2 linked regions of the Notamacropus eugenii genome follow. The main gene of each other region encodes a partner of the protein of the gene in region 2 in a complex. Links are inferred from orthologs where the notes say so. Each region holds a gene or a part of one and is shown on either strand. Other genes may lie near its edges.

The links.
Region 1: the proteins of DNM1L (region 2) and MIEF2 are in contact, whole or in part, in a cryo-EM structure (PDB 5WP9), measured with the Homo sapiens proteins. The link is inferred for Notamacropus eugenii from reciprocal best matches to the Homo sapiens genes DNM1L and MIEF2. Residues at the interface, in NP_036192.2 of Homo sapiens: Asp190, Met191, Ala192, Thr193, Ser194, Leu197, Lys198, Ile199, Arg201, Glu202, Gly223, Thr224, Asp225, Asp228, Arg233, Val234; in NP_631901.2 of Homo sapiens: Val213, Asp214, Thr215, Val216, Arg218, Arg226, Leu230, Arg235, Val245, Gly246, Tyr248.

The regions. Positions count from the first base shown.
Region 1 is NC_092874.1:335,796,921-335,805,803, reverse strand, and holds the start of MIEF2 (mitochondrial dynamics protein MID49), read right to left. Parts: upstream 4,177-8,883; 5' UTR 3,945-4,176; coding exon 3,836-3,944; intron 3,745-3,835; coding exon 3,720-3,744; intron 3,528-3,719; exon of another isoform or gene 3,375-3,527; intron 1-3,374. UniProt on the Homo sapiens protein: Mitochondrial outer membrane protein involved in the regulation of mitochondrial organization.
Region 2 is NC_092874.1:214,538,174-214,547,664, forward strand, and holds the start of DNM1L (dynamin-1-like protein), read right to left. Parts: upstream 3,577-9,491; 5' UTR 3,562-3,576; coding exon 3,439-3,561; intron 1-3,438. UniProt on the Homo sapiens protein: Functions in mitochondrial and peroxisomal division.

The sequences.
Region 1 (8,883 bases), about 120 Mb from region 2:
CCACATTTGGCCCTTGATAAATGAACGCCAGCCACCCCCTCTCACTCCCCAAACACACACTCTCCCAGGACCTTCAGGAAAAGCAGGATGAAAGCCAATACTATAAAGAGCTCAAAAACCAACAAAAAAGGTACACCCACCGAGTACCGACATGGAGGAAGGACTCAGGCAACAACAGTAAGATTAACTCCCCTAGATCAGAGAATTTCCTGATCAAATCTAGAAACTAGAGGCTATGGGATTGTCACTCTGGACATCGTGAGGGGAAGAGCTGGACGGGCTGACCTCTCATGCTCCCTTTCAGTTCTCAGGGTCTATGATTTACTCATTCTCAAGGCATCTGGGCCTTGAGTGAAGTTGTCCAGGTAACCAAATACTACCACTCATCAATGCCAGAGAAATGAATCAGGCAGAGAGAGCTCAAGCCCCCACAAGTATTTTTGCCATGACCCTTGCCTTTCAGAGACTAAAAATAGAGCCTGGGTGGCTCTTGTGGTGTGGTGTACAGGAAGCTAGAACCACTGCCACCTGCTCTGCCCAAAGTCATAACTCTTAAGGGAGGAACACAGGAAAACGAAGGGATTCTTAGCTCAAGTCTTGGCTCTATGTCAACCTTAATGTATGGCCTTAGGCAAAACACTTCTCATCTTTCTATACTGTAAAATCTAGGATAATTCCTGACCTCCATCTTTATTAGCACTGTGATAAGGACAGATAGGAAAACACTATGGAAGTGGTATCCTCTCCTAAGGGGATTTGAAAGCACCCCATTGGCAGAGGCCAAGACTGGGTAAGAATGCTTTTTGACTAAATCAAACTATTAGAATGTACATCTATATCTAAGTGGGGTGTCTGTGACTGAAGCAAAATTTAGCTTACTGGCACATGTGGGTAACACAATAGCAGATAATAGTGTTTGTGGATAGACAGGCCTTACAAGCCCCAAAAGAAAGCCAATGTTTCTTCTCTGTCACAGCTCAGTTATCTCTTCAATCCATTCAATCTATGCTTGCTCCAACAGCCCAGAATCTTGTTCTGCTCTCCCTGAAAATGGTTTCTGCCTGAGAATCCCAGACTCCCACACAAAGGTTTTTGATGGGATTCAAGGAAGTAATCAGGTCCTGTTCCACTCAGTTCTAATGATTCAATCAAAAAGAGTCAAAAGCAAAGCTTTTGTTAATATCAAATTCACAGAGAGACAAGAGCACACCTACCCTGGGCTGTACTTCTCTACGCTGGAGCCAAATGAAATAGTATCAACTCTACTTTTTTACCAGGCAGATGGTAAAATAAAATAGGATTTTTTGCTTGGAGGCTTCTCACAAGATTCCAAAATCAGAGAAAAGGTGGGGCTAAAATGGACAAATACAGTACTTAGAAGTACTCACTGGGGTCTTTGGTCCAATGCTAATACCCTCTCACAGAACTGCTCCTACGTTCCATCCCTTAGTCCATTTTTCTCACTGTAGCAGGATGAGGTCAAACGTTTATAGACTTGGAGCTGGAAGGGACCTAAGCAGCTTCCAGTCCAAAACTCTTCATTTTACAGATTGGAAAGTAAGGGAGATTATGTTATTTACTTCAAGGACAATGTGAGAAATGAATATTTCTCTCTTATACTTTAATAATTATAATATTAGGACCAAAGTTCTTCCCCTTTTCTACTTCCTCATCTAGAAATCAACCAGTGTGGGAAATTTCTCTTAAGAGATTTATCCAGGCCAAGATCTAATCAGACAGTAAAAGAAATTCTAAGTTTGGGCTAAAGGATGCATTCCTGCTTATTATGTTAGCTTACAAATACGTCCAGAGAAAATGTTGACTCTCCCTATTATCAAGACAGGTGATATTAACTAATGTCTCTTTGACCAAGATTTGAGTGACCTAGGTCAAGTACCCCAAGATAGCCTACCTCCCATTTGATTAACCAATCAGGGTTGAGCAGGCACCCCTGGGGAACACCTCCTCTCTGAAATGTAGAAGAGGGATGGACAAATGGCCATTCTTTTATTAATAACCTGCTAGCCTTATTAATAAAATGATTAAATTACCCAGAAATTATGTCTCTCTAACTTTTTAAAGGGTCACAACAAAAAGGTATTAAGGATCTGAGGTGGGACTGGAACTCAGGTTTTCTGATTCCAGTCACTGCACCAAGAAGTCTAAACCTAGGAAGTGCTCTAGTGTTCTTTAAAGGAGACTCCAGAATAGTGCAAAAAACAACAAACCAAGAGTCAGGAGACCTGGATTGCAGTTTCTACTACTAACTGTGTGGCCACAAACAAGTCATTTCCCACTCTGAGGTGCCTTAATTTCCTTCTCTGTATAAAGAAGGGGTTAGGCTAGATGGTTCCTTGAAGCTAAGACATTCTAGTTTTCTGCAGAGGATAATTGTGCAAACATGACCTGTATTTTCAGAGACTGGTGGACAGTGGTTGGCCGGTAATCCTAGAGCTGTATCAGCCACTCTGGAGAACAGTCACTCACCCCAAGGGGCCCTCTCTCACAGGCACACAGACTGTACTTCAGAGGGTGAGAACTTATCAGGAAAGCTCCAGTATCCTCAGAAAGGATCTTCCAGGCCACTCCCATTCCCAGCAGGTAAGGCTGGGGAAGAGGGAGCCAGGCTAAGCCCAAGTAGGGTTCTTAATGTCCCCCTGGGGTTCATGAGGACAATCGGGCCGTCAGTATCCAGTTCCCCACAGTGAGTCTAAACAGCTCAGCCGCAGGCCCACAATTCAGCTGCTGGGCAAGAGGAACCAGTCAGCGTGGGAAGTACAGGAGTTCTGACCCTCCCAGTTAAAAACAAAGCTGACTCTAGCAAACACTCCAAACAACTAAGGGGGCCCTCTTTGGTGTAAAGGACTAAACTCCTCCCAGCTTTGCTAGGAGTACAAGTAGCTGCCTGACCTTGGGCAGTTTGCCGCCCCTTCTCTGGACTGAATTTCCCTTACTACAAAATGGATGGATCCTATATAGCAAAACCAGGCTCCGGATTACCGGCTCTCTAAAGTCCATTACCTAGGACTCACCTAAGAACCACAACAGAATGGGGGGCATTGATTCCTGACCCCCAGCCCCAAGTCGCACCTGGACCACTCCCAACTCCTCTCACCCCTCCTCCGCCCCCACCCAAACCTCTGCCCGCTCCCCCAGGCAGACCTCCACGTCCGTAATTCGCAGACCCGGCCCTGGTCCGTCCAGGGAGGCTTCCCAGCCCAGGCTTTGCAGGCTAGCACCCCGGAAGTCGTGGCTAAAGAGGGGCGGCCTCGCTCTGTGACCTTGGGCAGGTCCCTTGACCTCTCTGAACGTCCCAGCTCTGGATCTGCGATCTCCCCAAGATCCCTCTTCCTCTACCTCCGATGCCGGCTTACCTCCTATCCTTTCCAGGGCAGGAGGGCCTCGGGGCCCACCTAGGACGCGTGCCCCGCCCCGGTCAAGTCGGATCCCCGCAGGCACCGGGGGCGCCCCTGGTGTAAGGGGCGGGGAGGGCGGTGGGAGCATCCTTCTCAGCCTCGGGCTCCGGCGGGGCCGGCGCAGGCGCAGTCACCGCGGAGGCTCCCTTCTCCCCTCCCCCTGGGCCCCGGTGCGGGACAAGGACCCCCTGCTGGGCGAAGGGCTCCTCTCCCTCCTCGCACCTCCACACGCTCCCCCGCGCCCCGGAAAGGCCCCGGACGTCGGCCTTTGGGGCCCCTCGGACAGCGGAAGGCCCTTCCTACCTGCACTGCCGCTTCACCGCATCACCTGGGAAGAGAAGGCCCGGCCCACGGTGAGTCCCTCGTCCTCCTCCTCCTCTCCCCCGACTCCTAGACCCAGGGCCGGCCCCCTCTCTAACCTCCAACCTTCTCCTCCCAGCGCGCAGCCGCAAATTCGAAGCCAAGGGGGCGGAACCCTGACGCCCGGCTCGGGCCGGACGGACTACCTATGCGCCCAATCAGAGGCATGCCTTCCCGTCCCGCACGTTCCAAAACAGACCTCGAACGGCCAATCACCCAGAGGCCACGCCCCCTCCCTAACGGGCATTCCCGGCCGGGGCGAGGCGTCCCCGGGGGCTGCGGGGGCGTGTCTTCGGCGTTAAAGGCACAGGATTCAAAGAGCGGCCCGAAGGACCGCGGCAGCCCGTGGGGATTCCGGCTTGGAATGCCTGCGCTTCCTCCTACGGCGGAAGTGGTCGTTGTGATGAAACGCGTCTGTGACGTCACCTCCGGGCTCTCGAGAACTAGGCCTGGAGCACGTGGCAGTAGGAGGAGTCGGGGCTTGGTGACTTCATGGCTAAAGGCCGGCCCCGAGCGCCGGTGCTGGAGGCGCCTCGGACGCGCCTTGGGCGCGGCTCCGGGCCCAAGGTTCGGCTCCCCCGGGACCACACGGCTCTGAATCCCTCGGTGGTCTGGACAGTGACACAGAAAAAGGCCGAACAGCAGCCCCTGTCCTCAAGGCACGTGTAGTCTAACGAGAAGAAAACCTGAAACCACTGGGACAAATTGGGGAGGCCCAGAAGGCAGGCGCCGGCATTGAGGAGAACTGGGAGGGCTCCCTGGGAAGGTGGGGGACGCCGGGGACCTGGGGAGGTGACGCAGAGGAGGAGAGGGTCCCAGAAAGGAAGCGGAGCCTCTCCTTGCCCCGGATGGGGACGGTTACTGGGAATTCCGTCCCAAGTTGGGTCTGTTGAGGTTTAGGGGTGCTGGGACCCCGAGATGAGACGGGCAGGGCCTGCCTGAATGAATTGGCCCCAAGCTTTCAGCCAAAGATAAGGTTTGTTAGAGCGCAGGTAGAAGGGTGTGATTCTGAAGATTCGCCATCCAGGCTAGACTCTTAAGGGATCCAAGTACTGGTAATTTCTTGGAGGCGTGCTGGAGCTTATGTACAGGAAGACCGTGGGAAGGATCAGGCTCTAGAAGTGGCCAGTAGGCTGGGGTGACCGAAGGAGCGGGGTCTAGGGAGGATTTTGATGGCAGGAGCCGGTAGGCTGGAGTGACTGGAGCCTGAAAGCAGGGACCTAGACCAAGAGAATGGGGTCTAGATAGACTCAAGGGTGGGAGGTGGCTGGGGGTGAACCAGAGGTAACAGACAGTGGGGAGCTGGGCAACAGAGAACTGGGAGATTGGGTGTAGGCCATAGTGAAAGGCCAGATGAGGGGATGACTGGGATGCCTCAGGTGACCGACGGAGACTTGACCGTATGGAAAGTTCAGGGAGAGTTGGGGGCGGGGGGAGAGGTTCCAGAGCCCCTACCTGTCAGGTCCACAAAATAAAAAAAGTTTTACTCTTACCCTATGCTCCAGACTGATATTTCCCTCCCCTAATGTGATGGTTTATCAACTCTGTCTCTTCTTTTTAGGTGGGTATTGTAAGGCCAACCATGCCAGGCACTTTACAGGTAAAAGAAGTGGACAGCAATAACTTGGACCACTATTATCAATGTGAAAAGCAAATTTCTGAGACAAGCTTGTCCCTCCATTAGGAATGTGGGGGAAAATTACTGTTCAGGTAAAGGGTTGGGACCAACCTCTGAGGATCCTTACTTCTATGGTGAGAGTCTGTTATACTGAGATCAAATCCTGACCCCATGCAAAGGCCAGAGTGTATCTGAGTCCCAAAGAGCCAACTTTCAAAAATATGTATATATTGTTATTGGTTTTTTTTGTTTTTCATAATCTGTACTTTTTAGTGTATGTCCTTCATCTCTCAGAGAGCCATTACTTATAGTGCAGAATTAAAAAGAGAAAAAAATAACAGTTAAACCAATCAGGACAAGGAAAGAAGTCTGACATTATATGCAGTGTTCCACACCCATAGTCCTGACAACTTCTACAAAAAAGTTGCTTTCTCATATCTTTTATTTGGGGACAAGGTTAGCATTTAATTTTGAATCTTTTGTTATTTTTTCCATTTACAAAGTTGTAGCATACATTCCAAAGAGGGAGAGAACAAATGCATGTAGAAATAGATAACATATATAACATGAATAAGTACAAATATATACAAAGTAGTTAAATCCAAGGTACTTTGGGAACTTGAGCAGTAATGATTGAGGGAGTCAAGAAAGGCTTTATGCAGAAGGTGCTTGAACTGCCTCTTAAAGGAAGTAAGGGTCTCTAATTGGCAGAGTTAAGAAGAGAGAAAATACATTCTAGACATGTGGGTCAGACAACCAGTGCAAAGGCAGGAAGATAAGACATTGTGTGTGAGGAACAATTAAAATTCCAGTTGGGCTGGATCTCATGGTGTAGCAGGGGGATAAATGTCTGGTGAGTCTAGAGAAGTTTATATTTTTATCCTATTGGCAATAGGAAACCACTGGAGCTGGTTGAGTAGGAGAGTCAAATAGAATAAGGAAATTACTTGGGCTATGGGTTTGGAAGATGGACAGGAGTGGGGAGAGGATTGAGGCTGCTGTAATAATCTAGGTGAGAGGTGATTAGAATCTGAACAAACGTTGGTAGTTGTATGAGTGAGAAATTGGGTCAGATGTAAGAGATGTGATGGTAAAAATGGCATGATTTTACAACTGATTGGATATATAGAGTAAAGGAGAGTGAAAAGTTGAGGATGATGCTGAAATTACAAACCCATGAGACTGGAAGGATAATGGTACCTTTGACAGAAAGAAGGGAAATTTGGAAGAGTGGAAAAGATGATTTTAACTTTGGGGATGTTGAGTTCAAGATATTTTTGGGACAACTGATTTGAAATGTCCATTGGGCAATTAGTTATTCATGGCTGGAATTTAGGGTAGAAACTGGGACTGGATATATTGACCTTGAACTCATCTGCAGAAGGATGATAGTTAAAGCCATATGGGCTGAAGAGGCAAACAGTACAAACTATTGAAAAACAATGTATGATTTCAATAAAGTTGCAGGCTTCCAAATAAACTCAAAAAATCAAGAGCATTTCTGTATAGGAGGAAAAATCCAGAAAGCAAAAATAGAAAGAGAAATTTCGTTCAAAATAATTACGAAATTTAAATATTTGGGAGTCATTCTACCAAAGAACACCCAATACTTGAATCAATACAGTTATAAAACAAACACTTCTTAAAGAGATAAAGAACAACTTAAATAGTGGAAAGGATATTCAGTATTCACAGCTGGATCATACCAATGTAATAAAAGTTACAATACTAGTTGAGTTTCAGGGGTGCTAGGATCCCAAAATAGCGACAAGTGAGTCCTGCCCAAATAAACTCTATCCCAAACCTTCTTTCAGCCAATGACAAGTTTTATTAGAACACCAACTGGGTGAACATAATTCTAAAAATCTACCACATTGGCCAGACTTTTAAGGAATCTGAGCATTGGCTTAGACTCTTAAGGAATCTGAGAAGACACCCTTCCTTGTAATTGTTATAGGACAATCTATTCTCTTTACCTTTATAGAGATAGACAGTGGAGGCATCCTTGAACTCCTGGAGGATAAACTCCTCTTGCCATATTTCTGGAAAATTTCAGTCAACTTTTGTATGAGCAATGAATCCCCTACCTTGTAAATCTCAGTTGGAAGAGAATCAGCACCATGTGTTTTGTCCCAGGAAAGGAGCCTACTACTTCTTCGGTTAGGGAGGGATTGATTTCAACCTGAGGTAAATGGTCACTGGCTTCAGCATTGATTGATGATGGTCTGTTGAGAACCTTATGGAAGTGTTCAGCCCATGATCTCCCTAAGATCATGTCCTTATCACTAATCAATGTGCTTCCATCAGCACTGAGTAGTTGAAATGAATCGTAGATCTTTGTCCCATAAATAACCTTCAGGGCATCACAAAAGTGTTTTGGATTGTTACTGTCAGCATAAAACTGAATTTCATTTGCCTTCCTGCCGAGCCAAGAATCCTGCATCTTTCTAAGCTTTGCGTGTACTTCAGTTTTGATGGAATTAAATGCTGCCTTCTTAGAGATGAATGAACTGTCCTGCTGGTAAACCTTGTGAAGTTCTCGTTTTTTGTTTAGCAGTTTCTGAATTTCCCTATCATTTTCATCAAACCAGTCTTGGTGTTTGCGAGTGTTCTGACCCAGATGAGCAAATACAGTACTATACACCAAATCTCTGAAAGCTGCCCACTCCCTTTCTGCCCCACTGTTGCCAACTGTGTGTTAACACAACTTTCCCTCCAAATTAGTCACAAACTGTTTTCACTCAGAGATGAGCTCTAATTTGCTGACATGAATTCGATAGTCATTTTGCCTTGGGGATACCCCTTTTGTTGAATGTGAATATTTAGCTAGGAGAGGATAAGTCTGTGATCAATTCTCACTGTCACATCCTGTCTGTCTCTTCTTACAATCACATAGTCTATTAGATGCCAGGGTTTGTTGCCAGGGTGCGTCCACAAAGTTTTATTGTGTTCACATAAATAGAAGGTCATGTGATGCACAAGTCTTCAGTAGCAAATGACCATTGCTGCTACTGTTTCCAACTCCATTCCTCCCTAGGACTCCCTGCCAAGTCTGGTAGTCTCTTAGTCATTGCTGGGAAGATTCTTGCCAGAGTCCTCCTTGACAGGCTGAACCTTCACCTGGAAGATGGTCATTTCCCTGAGAGCCAATGTGGCTTCGGAAAGGGCCGAGGAACAGTTGATATGGTGTTTGCTGCCCAACAGCTCCAAGAGAAATGCCAGGAGCAGAACAGAGGTCTGTACACAACATTTGTAGATCTGACCAAGATCTTTGACACTATTAGTCGTGAGGGCTTATGGAAAATTATGTCAAAATTTGGTTGCCCAGAGAAGTTCATCAATATTTTATGTCAATTTCATGATGGCTTGTTTGCCCAGGTTCTGGATAGTGAACAATGCTCTCATGCCTTCCCAGTCACCAGTGGAGTGAAACAAGGCTATATGCTCGCTCCTATGTTTTTTAGCATGATGTTTTCAGCCATGTTGTCA
Region 2 (9,491 bases):
TACTGTTACTGTTATAAAAGACACAGCATCTTGACATAATGGCAAGTGTATGTTGTACTCTGGTATTAGTTGACTGTGATGACTGACAAGAAATGGAGTGAAGTACACCTACAGTTTAATGGTCATGCTATGAACAAACTGAGAGAGTACATCACGAGAAGTTTCAAAGCTAAAAGAAACTGTAAGAAGGCAAAGAAAAGAGAATGAAGAGACCTTTTTATTTATGGAACTCTCTATCTTGCAGAGAGAATTCTTGAGAAAGGACTTTAATTGATATCCTTAAAGAAAGGCCTGTGTTTTTAGAAGCAAAGACATCTGCAGTTAAATGGTTTGAAGTGATTCTAGCTGTGATACTCTCACAGCTAAAACATTGTAAATATTTACCTGTCTGTGTTATGACTGGCAACATTAACAAATTATATGTAGCCAGTAATTAACTGAGCAGATCAGGAGTTCTCATATATAAAGATATGAGCCACCACTTATAGAAGGGGGTTTCTCTAGCTTATTAAAATATTCAATTAAGCTGGGGTGAGGGATCAGAGCTTAAATGACGCAATTTAGTAATTAATGGGGAAACATTTAAATATGATTCTGGATGGGACTATGTAAGCTACAAGTGAGTAGTAAATCCCAAAAAATTCAGCTACATAAAATATGTAAAAATAAATGTGATATTTCATGTACTAATGTAAATAACTACAAGGCAATTTTAATCAAGTGTATTGGTATTTAATATCAATTATCTAATAAATCACTGTTATGAGACTGTAGCATTTGGAGAGAGAGCTGGCTCCAGAGTCCAGTAGACCTGGGTTTAAGGCTCACCTCTGACAAATAATGGCTGTGTAACCTTGGGCAAGTCACTAACCTTCTCTGACCCTCAGTTTCATATCTAAAATGAAATGGTTGGAATACATGACCCTTAGAGATCTAAATGCATGATCTAAGAAATGGAGGCATCAATTATAGATTTTTTCAAGAAGTCACTGGTTTTCACAAAGGTTTTTTTTTCTCTTTTCTCATAGCTCCTCCCAATTTAATGGCTAGTTCATGAATATATTCATCAGTATACTGAGAGAAATAAACTCCATTAAGTGTAAGATAAATCCTTCTTGTTCTTAAACTATTTATGTTGACACATTATATGCCTGATTCTTTGTCTTCTTGCTAAGTTCATATTTCTCCTATATACACAGAGCTTTAAAATTGATGGAAAGTTTCTGGTTCGCAGTGGCCTTTTACAGCCAGGAAACAGTTCCAAAATAGTTCCCCATGATACTATGTAACTATTAAAATTCTTAAATATAGACTATAAAATGGAAGGGTCCTTAAAATCGCAAATTCAGAAAACAATGGTAAACAATAAAATTTACTGAAACCTGAAGATGACTTATTCCTTTAATATCTCAAAAGGTACTTTAAGAACTTATAGTTTCACAGAATTATTAATACAAGCATTAATTATTACATGTTCTTGTTGTTCAATGACTTCTGACTTCATGACCGTTTGGTATTTTCTTGACAAAGATACGTGAGTGGTTTATCATTTCCTTCTCCAGCTCATTTTACAAATAAGAAAACTGAGTCAAACAGGTTTGAATAACTTGTCTAGGATCAGCACATCTACTAAGTGATCTGAGGTCAGATTTAAATTTACAAAGATAAGTCTTCCTGATTCCAAGCCCAGCATGCTATCCTCTGCACCATCTAGCTGTCTCAATTATTATGTATCTCACTCTCTCTCTATATATATATGCAAAATTCAACTTTTTTTGTATTTAACCAAACCTGGGGTTTTATTTTTGTAGGGAACATGAGTTCCTTACAAAGGGAAGGAGGACACTCCCTCCCACCAATATAACTTTGCAAATGTTAGAATACTTAGAGAGTAGCACAGAAAAGTTAAGGACATGCCCAGGGTCATATAGTTAAGTCAGCATATGTCAAAAGAGGGACTTGGAAATCAGATTTTCTTGATCCCAAAGTCGGCTCACTGTGCACTTCACCATGCTGTCACATTGACTGAATATTATGACCACTAATTCTATAATATAGGGTTGAAAGAACAGTGTTTAAAAACCAGGAGGCAAGGATTCTTATTCATGGTTCTACCATTATATGATCTTTAGCAAGTCATTTATCTCTCTGAGCTTGTTTCCTTATGAGTAAAATGAAGGAACTTGCACAACTAACCTCTAAGATCCCTTTTCAGTCAAACTCTACAATTTGGTCTACATGCTGTTTAAAAGTCCCTTCGCAGATTAGAGGGGGGAAATTGGTTAATGGTTACTGTAGTTACCATTTTGAAGCAATATTGTCTTTGTATTTTCTCTGTATCAAATCCAACTATCTCCAAAAATTCTCACATTGTCTCCTCCTCTCTAATCTCACTGTCACCACTCCTGGTCAGGGCCCACACCACCCCTCCCAACTGCTCACACTCTTTAAGTTTCCTCTTCTACAAGGCTGTCAAAATAATTTTCCTCAAGCCCAAATCTAACCTACCTCCCATATCAAATTCCAGTGTCTCCTCCCAATCATTTCCAGGATCACATACAAACTTCTGTGTTTGGCACTTAAAGCCCTGCACAACCTGGCCCCAGAATACCTATTTCAGTCTTATCACCACTGTCTCTCCTACAGAATACTCCATTTCCAATCTCCATGAGTTTGCCCTTTTTGTTTTCCAAGTTCACGTGTCCCCTTCCATATAAAGCCTTTCCTTATCTTCTCTCCCCCTCAAAAACAAATTACCTATTTCTTTCCATATATATTATACAGATCATAAATAAACGCACTATAAATATACTCTCATGAACTGTTATTAGGAAACGAAAACATGTAGATAGCTTCTCAGGTCTTCAGTTCACAACAAAAACCAACATACGATTCTACTTCACCCCTTATTCCAGCAAAGTACTAGGGAAAAACAAGACAGAGACCTTTCCATCTTTCCACTCTCCCTAATTCACTAAGGCACATTAGGGAATATGACTTCCTATACTTTAAAGCATTCGCTTCCACAATTCTGTGAGCAGGCCAGCGTGGATTGCCCAGTCTCACAGTGGGAAGAACATTTATGGCAGTAAAGTGTTTTATCAGAGAAGGTAAAAACCACGCCCTGCAGAGGCGAACCCAGGTGACCCTCGCCAGCACCACAGCGGGGGGTAATGGGGGGGAGTGTTATGGTGTGAGGCCAGTGTAGGGGACAGCGTGCGCGCCAGCGTGGGAGTGGGGATGGGGGATGGTGCCCCGTGCGCGTGCGCGTAATGGCCAAGCTTTTCAAGAATCCCGGAAGGTGAAACTTCACAAGGCTCGGATGAACCCTGAAGCCCTCTCACATTCTGCTGCTCTGATCCATAATTCGCTTTGCGGCCCAGGGTGAGCCCGAGAGGTGAGAAAAGGAAAACCAAGCACCGAGACTGCCGAGCAAACTCGGGCACCGATCCTGAGCTCCTGGGCGGCTTCCCCTTCCACGCACCCCGCTTGTCCCTCAGTTGCCCTTGGAAACCGAGGGCCCTCCCCAGGGCACCTTCCCTGCTCATTCCACACCACCATAGCTCCCCGGACCGGCGCCGCGCCGAGCCGAGGCGACTCCGCCTACCAGGATCCCTCCCAGTCCCCAGGGAGGCCCAAACAACCGGATGAAAGAGTAGCTGCAGGGTGCAAAAGGCCGGGCCCCCCAGCTCCACCCAACCCCACCCTGCCCCGCCTGGCCCTGCCCTGAGGCCTAGAGGCGGCCTAGCCTGCTGTAGTGCAGCGGCCCAGCCAGCCCAGGCCCCAGCATTACCTGGGTTCCAACTACGACGATCTGGGGTAGCTGGATGATGTCGGCGCCCACGGTGTTAAAAACGTCCTGGAGCTTGTTGATAACTGGGATCAGCGCCTCCATGGTTCTTGGAACGCAAGGCCCCTGACCCGCCGGGCAGAAGCAATGAATGAGGCCGGGCCCGGAGTTCACCTCCACCTTCTAGTCGCTTTCCTCCTCCCCCTCTTCTTCCTCCTCCTCTAGAGCCAGCACCCATTGGACTTGGTCCGCCCCTTTACTTACTCCCTCCCATCAAGCTGTGCGCCAAAAAGGGGTGTGGACAGGGACTACAGAAGAGAGTCACAAAGGCTGACGGGAATTGTAGTCCGGGGAGAAAGAAAGGGTGGGTGGGGAGAAACTGCTCTGGGTGCTTTTACAAGTTTGCCTGTTGTGGTAACAAATCAGAATTACAGGTTCTTGGGGTTAAGAGCTGGGAGATCCGTTTTCAGCACGAGGAAACTGATCAGTATTTCATTACCTTTAATTTGCTAATAAAGACTACTTCAAATTGTTTGAGAGGTTGAGGACATATACATATATATATACATATGTGTGTATGCATTATGACTTATGTGTTGTGTATACACATATGTTTATATACACATATATTTATATGTAATACATATTTGTGTTACTCCTTTAAGGAGAGGGCCCCCTGAACTTCTCGGGATAAAACATACCCCACTGGAGCATCATGCTGCAGACTTGGACTCTTCTGCCTCCTGCCTGAGACCCCCATTCGGCACAGAACTGAGACACCTCATAGCTTTAGGACGCCAATTAACTTTGTTGATTTCTTGGGGCTGCAGAGGGTCCTTCTTTCAAAAAAAAAAAAAAAAGACCATTGAGTCAGGAAGAACCTAGTCAGTTTCAGGGAGAGGGAATTTCAGCTCTAGGTCTGTCCTATACAGTTGTTACCATGGGAAAATTGAAAAAAAAATATGCAGAATTTGGAAACAGGACATAGGTTCTAATCCCAGTTCTGCCACTTCATAGCTGTGCTAATCACTTCAGCTCTTTTAGCCTCATTTTCCTCATCTGGAACAGGAAGGCATATGACTCTAAATATATAATCCTGTACTCTTATAACGTGTGCCTGGAAATTCTGGTGAAGAGAAAGGAGAGAGGTTCTTTTCCCCTTCTGCTAGATGTACTTTCTCCACACCCCTACAACCTCAAGAACCTATGGCAGCACATAGCAGGACTTAGGCTGATTACCTGATTGTTAGCCCGAGTTGAAGCCTCAGATCCTGGCTACCTGTTGTCAATTGTTTCTCATTCCCTGCATAAAGCTATTCAAGCAGCAATCCTGAGATAGATGTTTCCTTCTTTGGAGGGAGCCTGATTATTTTGAGAGGTAAAGAGTTCCTGAGTCCCTCATTTGGAGCCAGCTACAATCAATCAATAATCATTTATTAAGCACTTAATGTATACCGGACACTAGGCTGAGTCCTGGAGGACTTAAAAAAGGGAACAAAAAGAGGAAAATGACAATCCTTGCCCTCAGGGAATTTGCAGTCTAATAGGGAACGCAACATACAAACAAATATATAAAGAAAAATGGGAAATAATTAACAAAGGAAAGGCATTAGGAGTTAAGAGAATTAGGAAAGGCTTCCTGTAAAAGATGGGATTTTAGTTGAGATTTAAAAGAAACCAGGAAAGTCAGTAGGCAGTTTTGAAGAGGGAAAACATTCTAGGCATGGAGGACAGCCGGAGAAAATGCCCTTAGCCAAGAGATGTGCCTTATTTTTGGAAGAGCCAGGAGGCCAGTATCACTGGATCAAAGAATACATGGCAAGGAGTATGGCATAAGAAGTTTGGAAAGGTAGGAATGGGTAGGTTATGCAAAGCATTTTTTTATTTGATCCTGACTGCTATCAGTAGCCACTGGTGTTTCTTGAGGAAGGGACAGACATGGTCAAAACAGTGCTTTAGGAAAACACTTTAATGGCTATATGGATGAATTGGATTAGGGAAAGACCTCAAGTCTGAGAGAAATGATTATTAAATAACCAAGTATTAGGGAGACCAGTGATTTTTTCTCATCTTCATTTGGAGATTAGATCAAAGCTTAGTTCTCTGAAGAAAAGGGCTGATGATGAGATGATATCTTGGAAGTGTTGACCTACTCAACGAAAGAACCTTACAAAGAATTTAATCTATGGTTCTATGTCCAAAAAGGAGTGATCAGAGTCACAAGTCCCAGCCCCTCATTAGAATAGATCCATCTCTCATTATAATATTCATTCTTCACATTGATTGTTAACCAATCAGATTTGATAGTCACCCTCAGGTACACCCACTCTTCCAAGGGCATAAACATTGAGTGGATTGCATGAGAGGTCTATGATATTCAAGAAAGCCCCTGAGCAATTATTGCTGGCATGATTAATAAAATAATTATCCAAAACTATGTCTCTTGAAGTTTTTATATGTCATAAGTCTTTGGTGGCAGATCCACCAGCAGTCTATTGGAATTATCCAAGTGTGACGTGATAAGAGCCTATGCTATAGTGATGGTAGTATCAAAGGAGAGAAAGGAATGTCTGTGAGAAATGCTGAAGAACTGAAATTGATAAGCCTTGACAATAGCTTGGATATATAGAGAATATGAGATATAGAAGTTACTAACTCTTTGGATGTGAGCCTGAGGGTCAAAGAGATGGTGTTGCCCTCTACAGTTACAGGGAAGGGGGTGGAGAGGAAATAATGAGTTTTGGACATGTTTAGTTAGTGTCTACTTGGACATCCATTTTGAGATGTCTAAAAAGCAATGGGAAATGAAAGAAAGTGAGAAGAGAGGTTGATACAGAATAGGTAGACTTGAGAATCAAACATGGAGATGGTAATTTAATCCATGTGAACGGATGAGATCTCCAAGTGAAGTGGTATAGGAGAAGAGAAAAGGAGAGAGGATAAGAACCCTGAGGGACACCTATGGATAGAGGACATGATCTGGAGGAGGATCCAGCAAAGGAGAATGAAAAGAAGCTGTCAGATAGGAAGGAGGAAAATCAGAAGAATGTAGTGTTCCAAAAATCTAGAGAAAGGAAGAGAGGGTGATCCTCAGTCTCAAAAACTGCAGAGATATCAAGGAGAAGGAGGATTGAAAAAAGGCCATTGGATCAGGCAATTAAGAGATCACTGGTAACCTTTGAGAGAGAAGTGCTAGTAGAATGATGTCAGAAGCCATATTGTAAGAGGTTAAGAAGAAAGTGAGAGAAGAGAAAATGGAAGCATCTATTGTGGAGGGCCTTTTTGAAGAGTTTAGTTATAAAAGACAGAAGAAATACTGGATTACAGTTACTGTGGATGAAGGATCAGATGAGTTTGGTTTTTTTGAGAAGGGGAAAACATGGGGCATGTTTGTAGGCAGTAAGAAATGAGCCAGTAAAAAGGGAAAGGTAAAAATAAATAAGAGGGGGGATAGCAAAGGGAGCAAGATATTGGAGGAGACAGGATAGAATGGAATTGCTTGAACAGGTAGAGGAGTTAGCCTTGGTAAGGAAAAAGCCTTCTTTATCATTTGAGACAGTTAAAGAAGATAGAAGCAGAAGTCATCTGAATAATATGAGAAAGAGGATGGTGAAAAATCTCAATTTTTTCTCTAAAATATGAGGCCAAATTTACAGGGGCTGGGAACCTGCCGCCTCTAGGTCCAAGTCCTGACCTATGTCTTGCCACTACACTCCAGTGACTGGGGAGGAGAGAGCGAGGCTGGTAACTTTGCAAGCCCTGTTTCACTTATATCGAATTCACTTGCAAGTCAAGGCTTCACCCTCCTGATGTCATTGGGCCTCTGAGAAAAAAGGAGGCGCAATAGTCTGTGAGTAGTAATAATGATCAGTTCCAGTTGGGCAATGATGCTATATCCTCCATCCTCCTCCATCCCCGCATTCCTGGTAATAAGTCCTACCTGGTCATAATGTACTTACCATTCTCATGGTAAGTCACTGTAATCTTTTTGCTAATATTTTATTGAACACTTTTGCATCTATATTCATTAGGGAAATTGGTCTACATTTTTCTTTCTCTGTTTTGACTCTTCCCAGTTGAGGTATCAGGACTGTATTTGTATCATAAAAAGAATTTGGTAGTATTCCTTCTTTGTCTATTTTCCCAAATACTCTATATAGTATTAGAATTAATTGTTCTTCAAACGTTTGGTAGAATTCACTTGTACATACATCCATCTGGCCCTGGAGATTTTTTCTTTTTCATTGATGGTTTGTTCAGTTTCTTTTTCTGAAATGAGGTTATTGAAGCATTTTATTTCCTCTTCCATCAATCTGGGCCATTTAAGTGTTTGTAAAAATTTATCCATTTCACTGAGATGGTCAAATTTATGAGCATACAGTTGGGCAAAATAGTTCCTAATTATTGTTTTAGTTGCCTTTTCATTGGTGTTGAATTCACCCTTTTCATGTTTGATACTAATAATTTGGTTTTATTCTTTTTTAAAAATCAAATTAAACAAAGTTTTAGCTATTTTATTGGTGTTTTTTTTTTCATAAAACCAGCTCTTAGTTTTATTAGTTCAGTAGTTTTCTTAATTTCAATTTTATTAATCTCCTCTTTGGTTTTCAGAATTTCTAATTTGGTATTTAATTGGAGATTTTTAATTTGTTCTTTTTCTAGCTTTTTTTAGTTGTATGCTCAATTCATTGACCTCCTCTTTCTCTGTTTTATTCATGTGAACATTTAGAGATGTAAAATTTCCCCCTAAAAACCACTTTCACTACATCCAACAAGTTTTGGTATGTTGTCTCAATGTCATTCTCTTGGATGAAGTTGTTGTTTCTATGATTTGTTGTTTGACCCACTCATTGTTTAGGATTAGATTATTTAGTTTCCAACTTTTAGTCTATCTATCCATGTCCCTTCATTACATATAATTTTTATTGCATCGTGATCTGAAAAGGATACATTTAATATTTATGCTTTTCTGCATTGGATTGTGAAGTTTTTACGCCATAGTACATGGTCAATTTTTGTGTAAGTGTGCCATGTACACACTGGATAAGGTATATTCCTTTCTATCCCCATTCAGTTTTCTCCAGTGGTCTACGATATATAACTTTGAGAATAAGGTATATTCCTTTCTATCTCCATTCAGTTTTCTCCAGTGGTCTACGATATATAACTTTTTAAAAATTCTATTCATCTCCTTAACTTCTTTCTTGTTTATTTTGTGGTGAGATTTATCTAGTTCTTAGAGGGGGAGGTTGAAGTCCCCTACTAGTATGGTCTTCTTGTCTGTTTCTTCCTGTAACTCCTTACTGCTCCTCTAACAATTTGGATGCTATACCACTTGGTGCATATATGTTTAGTAATGATATTATTTCATTGTTTATGATACCTTTTAACAGGATATAGTTTCATTCCTCATCTCTTTTAATTAGATCTGTTTTGGCTTTTGTTTTGCCTGAGATCAGAATTGCTGCCTTTGCTTTTTTTTTTTTAACTTTGGCTGAAGCAGAATATATTCTGCTCCAGCCTTTCAAATTTACCGGGTGTACCCCTCTGTTTGAAATGTGTTTCTTGTAAACAGCACATTGTAGGTGTTGACCTGAAAACTTACCAAGAAAAGGCAACATGGCTAAATGCATACATTTTATGATTTAATTAATTAATCAATTCCCTATTAAAGAAAACAGTAACATAATGCATTATGGAG